Xenopus tropicalis: one gene and its partners. The protein of the gene in region 3 binds, or shares a complex with, the protein of the main gene of each other region. Links are inferred from orthologs where the notes say so. Each region holds a gene or a part of one and is shown on either strand. Other genes may lie near its edges.

Region 1 (3,755 bases), on a different chromosome or scaffold from region 3:
ACTCCCTTTGCACATTTTAGAAATACACTTATATATAGATACATGTGTGTGTGTCAGCCCTCCTCCTCCCACTGCCAAAAGCAAATTGACAGCAAAGCCAAACGCGCACCCCGCCAGCCCTTCAGATGGTTACGCATCTGCGCTTGTTACCTTGCTCTGCTTGGGGGTCTCCTCACTGGTGAGATTAGCTCAGGTTAAAATAGGGGAGGATCCAACGGGGGTGGGGGGAAGAGAAAAAACCCAGAAAAGAGCATGAGCCTCCCAGAGAAAGTGCGCGGTGTATCATTGCAGAGTGTATCCAGAGCCGCTCTCCCCAGCCTTCTCCCTCTAGGAGTGGGTACAAAGTAACTCCATGGCTGTCATGCACAAATAAAAGCTCCCCCGGTGAGATGGACGTTCCTCACTCCCGTATCAGATGGCCGCTGTGTCTCTCACACACACTTCCTCGCTGGGCTGCTGCACAGGATCCCCGTAGCCATCCCCAGATGCGTGTGTGTGTTGATATGAATGCTCGCAGCCCTGTTAGGCTCCTCGTAAAGGGGGTGGGTGCTGCGAGGCTTTACTTTCCGCTCAGTCCTATGGCAGTGTCATGCTGGAAGGGCTTTGGGTGCCTGTAGGAGCAGGTAGGGGAGGGGGTGCTGCCTGGGTCCCTCTCTGATTGGGGGTTCGAGCTGACAATCCTTCATGTGTTTGTGACAGGATAGAGTTAAATTACGTTTTTGAGAAAAAAAAAAAAAAAAAGCTGCAGTATCGGATTGCGCTACAAGTCAGATCAGGTTGGTTTCGCAATGATTCTCCCTCCCCAGCAAAACACTTTTTTCTTCCAATTCCCCCCTCCCCTTTTTCTTTTTCACCCCTTCTCCTCCAAAGTACGGCTTCACTCCCCCTTCCTAGCCCACTTTCTTATCCCCCAGCACAGCACTCCTCCCCTGCTTTGCCTTCACTTTATCCCAGTTGTGCTCATTAGTTGCACTTGCACCCCCTTGCCCGGCCCCCCCTGTGCTGCCCCTTCGCTAACTCTTCTTTCCGCGGAGCCCTCTCCAGGCACAGGCGTTGGGCACCACCAGCGAGCAACCTTACAGGAAAAAAGCTTTTGGCGCCATGTTAATGACGTACTTCAAATTTGCCATTTCTCCTGCGTCAAAAGAGGTTTCTGAAAACAGGAGGTTGATTTGGGGTTGGGATACGAAGGGGAGGGGGGTCCGAGGGAGGAGAGAAAGAGGCAGAGGAGGGACTGGGGGCTGGACACCCCCTTGCAAGTGCGAGAGAAGTCAGAGGCGGCGGGGTGGGTTGGAGATTCGAGAGTTTTATTGGGATAGGTGAAAGGAGAACGGAAGGAAAACTCTGAATTTCTATCCCCTAACGCCCCAGCTCCTGCGCTATAAAACAGTATATAGCATGGCCGCCCAGAGAGGGGTGCGACTAAGCGCTATAGAAATATATAAGGTCGCTAGCGCTTGTGACGATGCCCGGAGGCGGAAAGATCTGTAGTCACGTTCAGGGGACAGCCCTTAATTCGACAAGTGACAGCCTTTAGCGCTCCAACTAATGTATAAATGTCCCGCCGCTGAGGTGGGAGTTATTGTTCCTGCACGGAATAAAGCGACGTGCGAAAAGGTTGTCATTCATTTACTGAGTTGGTGAATTTGGCGCAATTATTTATGAGCAGTACACTTTATGCTTAGAGGGGATTAATGTGGGTATTGCGGATAGACCCGAATGTAAGGAGCCGGTGCTTTATAATAAGCTGCACTTAGGGCACCGGGAAACTTTCTCTGCTTATTGCTCATAATGTGGCGCTGATCAGCCAGCGCTCGAATAGTTACGTGACATCTGCAGGTGTTTCCTCTGCCCCCTCCCCCGGGAGAGCCGCTCACTGAGGGACTAGTAGGAAGGAGCTGCTGGCGGGGCGATATGTGCCGCGGGGAGGGGAATAACAGCAAACGCTCAGGCGGCTCCACCTTTACATTGGTTTGTTCTTGGGGCACTTGTTTCTTCGTTTCATATATACTTAATTTTCCGCTTATAAATGGCTCTGTGAAAACAACCTCCGTTTCCCGCTTTGTCGCCTACCCCTTACGTGTTGGTATATCCCTCAAGCGATCAGCTCTGGATGCTGCCTCCAGCGTAATGTAATGTAGGCATAACCTGGCAAAGCTGGGAAACCTCGCATACAAAATATCCTTTTTAACTGGAGCCATTTGGTCGGGAACTTCGTGTTCAACATAATGTTATAAACCGAATCTTTTTCATAGGCGTCCCCTGCCCTTGTCTGTGTTCATAAAGGCCAATCACATATTTTTGGCATTACTCATATGGTGTTATGCATATATTCTTAGTAAAGCGGCTTCATACTTCTCATTCCTATATAACACATGAACAATTACACAAAAATTCAGCAAAAATATATAGGGATGCACCAAATCCACTATTTGGGATCCGGCAGAACCCCAAATCCTTTGCAAATCAGGCAATGAAGTACCAATGAGAACGCCAATGAGAAGTGGTTAAACATATAAATACATATATATATATATATATGTATTAGGAGGTTTAGTTTACAGTAAACAGTACTTGAGGGGACTACTAAGTATGAGCATACTGTACAGCCCCAGTTTATGTAAAAGACATATGCTATTGTATTAATAAAACTCCATTAAATAAGGTGATGTTATACATTGTTTTAAATATGTAAACAGTAAATATATCTTATACACAAGAGCCGTGATTATCCTGTAAATTATATCCTTATATATGGTGCTTGGTGATGTCATCAGTTGGTGCTTAGTAATGTGATATGTGACTCACTGGAACATGTGTATTATAATAAATAATGTACCCCCTGTTGTAAAATATGAGGATGTTAGAAATTACCTTGGAATTACATGACTTTTATATAGTCATGGATCTCCTAGGGGACTTCATATTTTACAATAGGTGTTACATTGTTCACTATAGAGAGAGTGAGTGGGAGCAGCAGCTCTTAACCTATGGGTCAGGTCCCACAAAAGTGTCCCTGTACAATTTTGTGACTTCATGGTCCTCTTTTAATAGTAATTACAATTCATTGAATAAAAATGTTTAATTCTATAAAAACTTATGTGGTTTTCTTGAGAAAAGGTTTAGATCACATGTCCCATATGTAATACAAGGCACTATGTTTGCCCAGTAGCAGTAACCCATAGCAACCAATAGGATGTTTGCTTTGAAACAGGTGACCAGTAAATTCTACCTGCTGATTGGTTGCTATTGGTTACTGTTCCTGGGCAAACTTAGTGCCTTTTATTACATAACCCCTAAATAATGTTAAAATTGGAGGTGCCAGTTTGTTTCTTTTCAAGGCTTTATTAATCTGTGTTGTTTAGTTGTCCCCAGCTTTATACATACGTGAAAGGTATTCATTTTTTTAGTTTTTTTTTTTTGTTGTGGTTGGTTCTTTAGTGCATCTAAGGTATGCCCCAAATCAAGTATTTTTTTATTTGTCCGAATGCTGAATCCTTTACAAAAGATTCTGTTGAATATCAACACTCTAATCTGCATGCATATTCAGATCTGACAAAAACAATTGAAAAATTGCATCTTCTAGGAACAAAAAAGTATCATGTTTAGCTGTCCAAAGCAGTAAAGTTTTGTGGGTTTTAACTCAGTTTAGCTAAACAGTAGGACTTAGTGTTATCTGAATCCTTCAAAAGAGTGCTGGGAATTTGGGCCAAATCCTGTATTTTGGTTAGGGATGTACCGAATCCATTATTTTT
Region 2 (3,655 bases), on a different chromosome or scaffold from region 3:
GTAACAGTACACATTGACCTGCGCACCTGCAAGTGATACATACCCCGCTGTATGTTGTTAAGTATGATGGTGCTGCAGAGGACCTTTGGGTGCTAAAACATGTTTGCATAAAAGGCAGCAGGTGGATCTGCAATGCTGTGGCTCCATCCTTGATGTATCTACTTACTGCTCTAAAAAGAGCATTCTTGGCAGATGTAGCGGCTATTAAACCATCTCTATAGTGTGCAGAGAAACCTCCTTTTAATAAACGTTCGCGCCATTTTATTGCACTCCTGTGCCTTCCCTGGGTCCTGTAAAATTGAGTTGAATTTAACCGTGATATAACCTGCACTGATAGTTACTAGTCTTTACAGAGTTTTAGGGTGTACATAGCCTTATATGTGCATTATATTAAAGAAATGAATAGAAAAATTGATGGCATCTTCATTTCAAACACCAATAAACGTCACACATTTCTTTTCTTTATAATGTCCAGGATGCGTCAGGATGAAACGCCTCAGGAACCTCAGCAGCAGTGACAGCTCGGACAATGAGAGTGAGTATAATATTGTCAAATATATTTTGAACTAATGTATTCTTTCTTCAGAGGACCATTAGGGGATAGAGAAGGGAACTTGGACAAGTCCACAACAAAACACAGCAGCATTAAAGTGGACCTGTCACCCAGACATGAAAATCTGTATAATAAAAGTCCTGTTCAAATTAAACATGAAACCCAAATTCATTTTTATATTAACACATCCAAACCCATTATAAAGGCATTTAAAAATCACAGCTGTCAATCATATATTGCTTGCCCCGCCTCTATGCCTTAGGCATAGAGGCGGGGCAGACAATAACTTTAGCTTTCCATTCAGCACTTCCTAGATGTCACTGCACATCTCACTTCCCCCCCCCCCCCCTCCTCATCTAATTGTGTAGCCAGGGCATCTGGCCCCCCATTCTGGCACATAAACAAGATTTTGGCATGATACAAAGCTTGCCTTAATAACAGTGCCCACAAAATGGTGCCTGCCTGCTTGCTTTGATTGAGTAATTCCGAGACGGAAGGAAACAAGATTTATATTATTTATATAGAGTAAGTAAAGTTTATTTTGCTCAACTAACAATATAGAAAAAAATTTGGACTTATTTCTTAGGGTGACAGGTCCGCTTTAAGAGAGATTTTTTAAAGGAAAGTCACAATTGGTGTGATCCAGTTTCATCTCACAGATGTTCACATTACTCATAAATTAACTGGCAATATATGTTGAAATGGGCTGTAGTCCTTGCCAGTCTGAATTTTCACATCTGCCTGCTTTAAGTCGTGCAGGGCCTCCCAAAAGCCCCATAGATAGGCCAAAAAATCAATCAGTGTGGAAGGATCAAGTCAGTGACTTTTTTACATGAATGTCCTTATGGTTCTTGGCCGTTCATTCTTTTTGTCCCAGTCATTATTCTCTCTTAACATCTTTTAACCTTGTCTTCATGAACTTTATACCTGGTAATAATGCACCGTGTTACACCTCATTATGGGTAGTTGTTATTATAATCATAATTCATATAGCATCAGCATGTTCTGCTGCATTTTATAGAGATACCAGTTCCTGTCCCAGTTGATCTTATAGGACTAAGGACCCTATGGCAGGCACACATACTGTGGTCAGTTTTATCAGAAGCCAGTAAACATGCTGTATATTTTAGGAGTGTGGAAGGAAAACCATGCAAACATGATGAGAATTTAAAAACTCCTTTTCAGATTGTCTGTTAGCTGGACTTGAACCTAGGACCCCAGGGCTGCAATGCAGAAGTCCTGTCTCTTTTTGCACCATCTTGCAGGCCTGGATTCTGGCAAATGCGTGAGGGGCTGCATTAAGATGCCATAGACCGTTACTGTTTATTGGCCTGGTGGGGGGCTATTTGGGCCTCTGTGTACTTCAAATGCCAGGGCTTATTTCAAATCTCAATCCAAGCCTGCCACCTTGCCACAGTTCTGTGCATCCTTTAATTGCAGTTAAAAAAAAATGTTTCCAAAGAGCTTCCCAATTTTTGCAAGTGTGCAACTAGAGCACAGTTAATACATAACTGAAGTGTGAGTCCTAATTTCAGCTTTTAGGGTTAACTAGATTTCATGTAGATCTCCTTATTAAAACCTAAGTATATATACACTTTTACACTTGCTGACCAAGTGTAAGTATACATTTTACTGTTTACAGCTATTAAATAATTTTATATAGATTATTTAATAGCTGTAAACCGTAAAATGTATACTTTCTGTTAATACAGGTTTTTTTCCCATTAATTTAGGTCCTTCTACATCATTTTCCTCCTGCTTCCAGCATAAGGGTAAAGGCAAATGTACAGCCGATGATGGAAAGAAATCTGCCGAGGTATGTGAGACTCCCCTCTGATGCTTTTTGGATCTCTGTGGACAGCATACTGTAAGGTGTTAATCAGGGTAAATGTTAAATAATACGGGTATAGAATCTATTGTCTGGAAACAAAAAATCCAGAAAGCTCCAAATTACCAGAAGGCCATCTTTCATAGAGTCAGTTTTAAGCAAATAATATTTTTGTACCCTTTCTTCTCTGTAGTACTAAAACCATACCTTTTACTTGATGGTAGCTAAACTGCTTAAACCCATATCGGTGGCAAAACACCTGTACATGAACTGGTAAAGGAAATCACAGAGACACCAGCATTAGTGATATGCAGGCTAGGAAAACTTAACCCACACCACTGTTCCCTCTAAGCTGTGCGCGTGTGCGCGCGCACATGACTTTCCGAACCCGCGCACACAAATTAAAATAGCGCGCACAAAAATTAAATTTTTGTAACTTGATTTAGACAAACTGAAAGACCTGCGCAAAAATGCCCATAACTGAACTCCAACAAACATTCTGTAGCGCACAAAAATTTAATCTTGCTTTAAAATGCGCACGGATGATATTTTTTGCGCACACAGCCTATAAAAAATTAGAGGGAACGTTGACCCACACCCAACCCTAACCTGCAAAACCTAACCCACAATATGCTGCCATTGTAGGACTCGCACCCAACCTGTACCCACATCTTTCCACTTTGTACACTACTTCTGTAGCCTTAGGTTCCAAGACAGTTAGACTTCTGGAGGAGAGGAAGAGTGTGCCTCCCCACTTTCACTTGCACCCAACCACAACTCACAAAAAATTTCAACCCTAACCTAAGGGTAGACCTGCAGGTCCAGTGGGTTGTGGGTGAACCCAAACATCACAAGTCAGCACTTATAAACTGTACTAATGGAGGAGAAGATGGAGCCCATAGAGACTGAGCATTTTGACTTGGTCACTAACTTGAAATTGAGATAGGCAAGTGACAATACAGGTGAAGGGGAATTATACCTACCCAAGCAACTTAATTTAGAAATACTTAGAATGCTTTTTTGAGAACGTTTGCAGTTACATTTACTAGTTCTTATATTAGCAATTTATACTGCTAGTTTCATGAATTTGCAACAGGAACACTCTGCTGTTTTGTCCAGCTGGCATCTTATTGACAGGACTTTGTGGCATGTGTATCATATTGCAAAAATCCTATGGGACGAGGGGAGAACACAGAATAAAGTGCATAAAACACAGAGCAAACCCTCATCATTGAATAGTTTTTTTAAAAAATCTATGTTGCTATGGCAGATAG
Region 3 (3,755 bases):
TCTCAGTACAAGTGAGGGAATACAGGTGTAGGGGAGATAGCTCTCAGTACAAGTGAGGGAATACAGGGGTAGGGGAGATAGCTCTCAGTACAAGTGAGGGAATACAGGGTTAGGGGGGATAGCTCTCAGTACAAGTGAGGGAATACAGGGGTAGGGGAGATAGCTCTCAGTACAAGTGAGGGAATACAGGTGTAGGGGAGATAGCTCTCAGTACAAGTGAGGGAATACAGGGTTAGGGGGGATAGCTCTCAGTACAAGTGAGGGAATACAGGGTTAGGGGGGATAGCTCTCAGTACAAGTGAGGGAATACAGGGTTAGGGGGGATAGCTCTCAGTACAAGTGAGGGAATACAGGGGTAGGGGGGATAGCTCTCAGTACAAGTGAGGGAATACAGGTGTAGGGGAGATAGCTCTCAGTACAAGTGAGGGAATACAGGGTTAGGGGGGATAGCTCTCAGTACAAGTGAGGGAATACAGGGGTAGGGGGGATAGCTCTCAGTACAAGTGAGGGAATACAGGGTTAGGGGGGATAGCTCTCAGTACAAGTGAGGGAATACAGGATTATGGGAGATAGCTCTCAGTACAAGTGAGGGAATACAGGGTTAGGGGGGATAGCTCTCAGTACAAGTGAGGGAATACAGGGTTAGGGGGGATAGCTCTCAGTACAAGTGAGGGAATACAGGATTATGGGAGATAGCTCTCAGTACAAGTGAGGGAATACAGGGGTAGGGGAGATAGCTCTCAGTACAAGTGAGGGAATACAGGGGTAGGGGGGATAGCTCTCAGTACAAGTGAGGGAATACAGGGGTAGGGGGGATAGCTCTCAGTACAAGTGAGGGAATACAGGGGTAGGGGAGATAGCTCTCAGTACAAGTGAGTGAATACAGGGGTAAGGGAGATAGCTCTCAGTACAAGTGAGGGAATACAGGGGTAGGGGAGATAGCTCTCAGTACAAGTGAGGGAATACAGGGGTAGGGGAGATAGCTCTCAGTACAAGTGAGGGAATACAGGGGTAGGGGAGATAGCTCTCAGTACAAGTGAGGGAATACAGGGGTAGGGGAGATAGCTCTCGGTACAAGTGAGGGAATACAGGGGTAGGGGAGATAGCTCTCAGTACAAGTGAGGGAATACAGGGGTAGGGGAGATAGCTCTCGGTACAAGTGAGGGAATACAGGGGTAGGGGAGATAGCTCTCAGTACAAGTGAGGGAATACAGGATTATGGGAGATAGCGCTCAGTACAAGTGAGGGAATACAGGATTATGGGAGATAGCGCTCAGTACAAGTGAGGGAATACAGGGGTAGGGGAGATAGCTCTCAGTACAAGTGAGTGAATACAGGGGTAAGGGAGATAGCTCTCAGTACAAGTGAGGGAATACAGGGGTAGGGGAGATAGCTCTCAGTACAAGTGAGGGAATACAGGGGTAGGGGAGATAGCTCTCAGTACAAGTGAGGGAATACAGGGGTAGGGGAGATAGCTCTCGGTACAAGTGAGGGAATACAGGGGTAGGGGAGATAGCTCTCAGTACAAGTGAGGGAATACAGGGGTAAGGGAGATAGCTCTCAGTACAAGTGAGGGAAAACAGGGGTAGGGGAGATAGCTCTCAGTACAAGTGAGTGAATACAGGGGTAAGGGAGATAGCTCTCAGTACAAGTGAGGGAATACAGGGGTAGGGGAGATAGCTCTCAGTACAAGTGAGGGAATACAGGGGTAGGGGAGATAGCTCTCAGTACAAGTGAGTGAATACAGGGGTAAGGGAGATAGCTCTCAGTACAAGTGAGGGAAAACAGGGGTATGGGAGATAGCTCTCAGTACAAGTGAGGGAATACAGGGGTAGGGGGATAGCTCTCAGTACAAGTGAGGGAATACAGGGGTAGGGGAGATAGCTCTCAGTACAAGTGAGGGAATACAGGGTTATGGGAGATAGCTGTTAGTACAAGTTGATCCAGGGACTGGTCCGATTGCCATCTTGGAGTCAGGAAGGAATTTTTTCCCCTCTGCGGCAAATTAGAGAGGCTTCAGATGGGGTTTTTGCCTTCCTCTGGATCAACTAGTAGTTAGGCAGGTTATATATAGGCATTATGGTTGAATGTGATGGACGTATGTCTTTTTTTCAACCCAACTTACTATGTTACTATGTTACTAAGGGTAATGGTGTCACCTGTGTGAAATTACCTTTTCAGTAGGGATATGCCATTAATTATAAACATTGGATTAGCCCTGTGCCTGCGGAGGCATGAATTCTATTGCTCAAACATGCTCAATGCAAGGGATTTTCAGTATTTTATCACAGCCACTTGCTAAAAGCATTCTCCATATATCTCAGAGTATTCTGTATCTCAGCGAATATGAGGCATGCAGATGTATTAAAGCGATAGTTCACCCTTGCATTAACTATTAGCTGATAAAACCCTATTCTTTTTAAAATGGTCATTAACCCCAGCAAGAAGTTGTATTCTACGTATCTTTCTATCCATGCCTCAAGTCCCTGGTTCGTAAGGCAAATGGGAACCTAACCACATAGCTGCCCGTTTCCAAAATGGAGAGCAACAGAAAAATGAAAATGATTTCTCTGTGAAATAAATTATACTCAGATGTACTTGTACGGGAATATACACCTGTAACACTCCATGTTATACAAACAGCTGAAGCAAAACACTGAATGTACCTCAATTAGGTTTCCATGCTTTCCAACACTGCTTCCTTACTTCCTTTGTTTATACCACGCCCTTAATTATCGGCAGCCTATAGAAAACCTTGCAGTGATCGCACAAACCAATCCAACGACGGACTATAGCGGCACCGACAGGAACAACATACTACAATAGCGACTGCTATTAAACCACCTCAACCAATCAGTAACGAGAGGAAGGCGGGACCAGCAAGTAATTGGCGCGCATGAGAATCAATGAGGCGCCAGTCCTGACAGACATAAACTGCGTCCAATCCACAGCTGCACAGAGCACATTTCAGCCAACCACAACATAAGATGGAACGCAAGTATCCAATCGCCGCCTCTCACGAGTTAACCCACAACAGGCCTTGGTTTGACTGTATCTCTCACATGGAGGCTGCTGCAGGCAAAGCAAAAATAGCGCCGTATGCTCTGCACAATAGCCAGTGCCTACACGCAGCATTCTTCCAGTGCAGTGTCCAGAAGAGGCCCACGCCACACCAGGGGCACACGCCCACCCCCATACGCAGCTTCCATTTTCCTATCCCATGCATCTCACCTTCCTCCGGGGCATCGCTTGGCGCTCCCCCCTTCTCCCTTTGATCCCGCCCAGCACAACCGAATTCGCGGTTGGCGCAGAACGGGCTTTTTCTTGCGCCGTCTCCGGGTAACGGCAGAATGACGCGCAGGCGCGGCCCCTCCCCTTGAGTCAGGTTTCTCGCCCTGTGCATCGCGTACGCACCCGGAGCCCCTCCTCCTCACCTCTCACTCGCTATTGTCTCTCCGTGGGAATAGCCCCGCGCATGCGCAGAACATGGATCTGCTCAGCCCGTTATACCAAAAGGCAGTCAACTGGCTCCTTGTGTATCCATGCGCATATATCTGCCGGAACTATATGTTCTTATATCGCAATATTATTGTATAGTTGGTGTCTTTTCCAGCCATTGATTCACAGAACCCTGCAGTCATAACTTAGAGCAAGAGAGGGGCAGGGCAAACTGAATTCCTGTGGGAACAATGTTGTTTATCCCTGGGATAGCACGTTGGAGATGATAATAACTACAATCTCTAGCATATTGGCTG

What was found.
Region 1: kat7 (region 3) and jade2 share a complex: the UniProt entries of both Homo sapiens proteins name them as parts of the HBO1 complex. The link is inferred for Xenopus tropicalis from reciprocal best matches to the Homo sapiens genes KAT7 and JADE2.
Region 2: kat7 (region 3) and jade3 share a complex: the UniProt entries of both Homo sapiens proteins name them as parts of the HBO1 complex. The link is inferred for Xenopus tropicalis from reciprocal best matches to the Homo sapiens genes KAT7 and JADE3.

What each region holds. Positions count from the first base shown.
Region 1 is NC_030679.2:26,415,604-26,419,358, forward strand, and holds the start of jade2 (protein Jade-2), read right to left. Parts: upstream 2,531-3,755; 5' UTR 151-2,530; intron 1-150. UniProt on the Homo sapiens protein: Scaffold subunit of some HBO1 complexes, which have a histone H4 acetyltransferase activity. Acts as an E3 ubiquitin-protein ligase mediating the ubiquitination and subsequent proteasomal degradation of target protein histone demethylase KDM1A.
Region 2 is NC_030678.2:114,981,724-114,985,378, forward strand, and holds part of jade3 (protein Jade-3), read left to right. Parts: intron 1-475; 5' UTR 476-486; coding exon 487-535; intron 536-2,265; coding exon of another isoform or gene 2,266-2,286; coding exon 2,287-2,369; intron 2,370-3,655. UniProt on the Homo sapiens protein: Scaffold subunit of some HBO1 complexes, which have a histone H4 acetyltransferase activity.
Region 3 is NC_030686.2:14,504,994-14,508,748, reverse strand, and holds the start of kat7 (histone acetyltransferase KAT7), read right to left. Parts: upstream 2,783-3,755; 5' UTR 2,667-2,782; intron 1-2,666. UniProt on the Homo sapiens protein: Catalytic subunit of histone acetyltransferase HBO1 complexes, which specifically mediate acetylation of histone H3 at 'Lys-14' (H3K14ac), thereby regulating various processes, such as gene transcription, protein ubiquitination, immune regulation, stem cell pluripotent and self-renewal maintenance and embryonic development.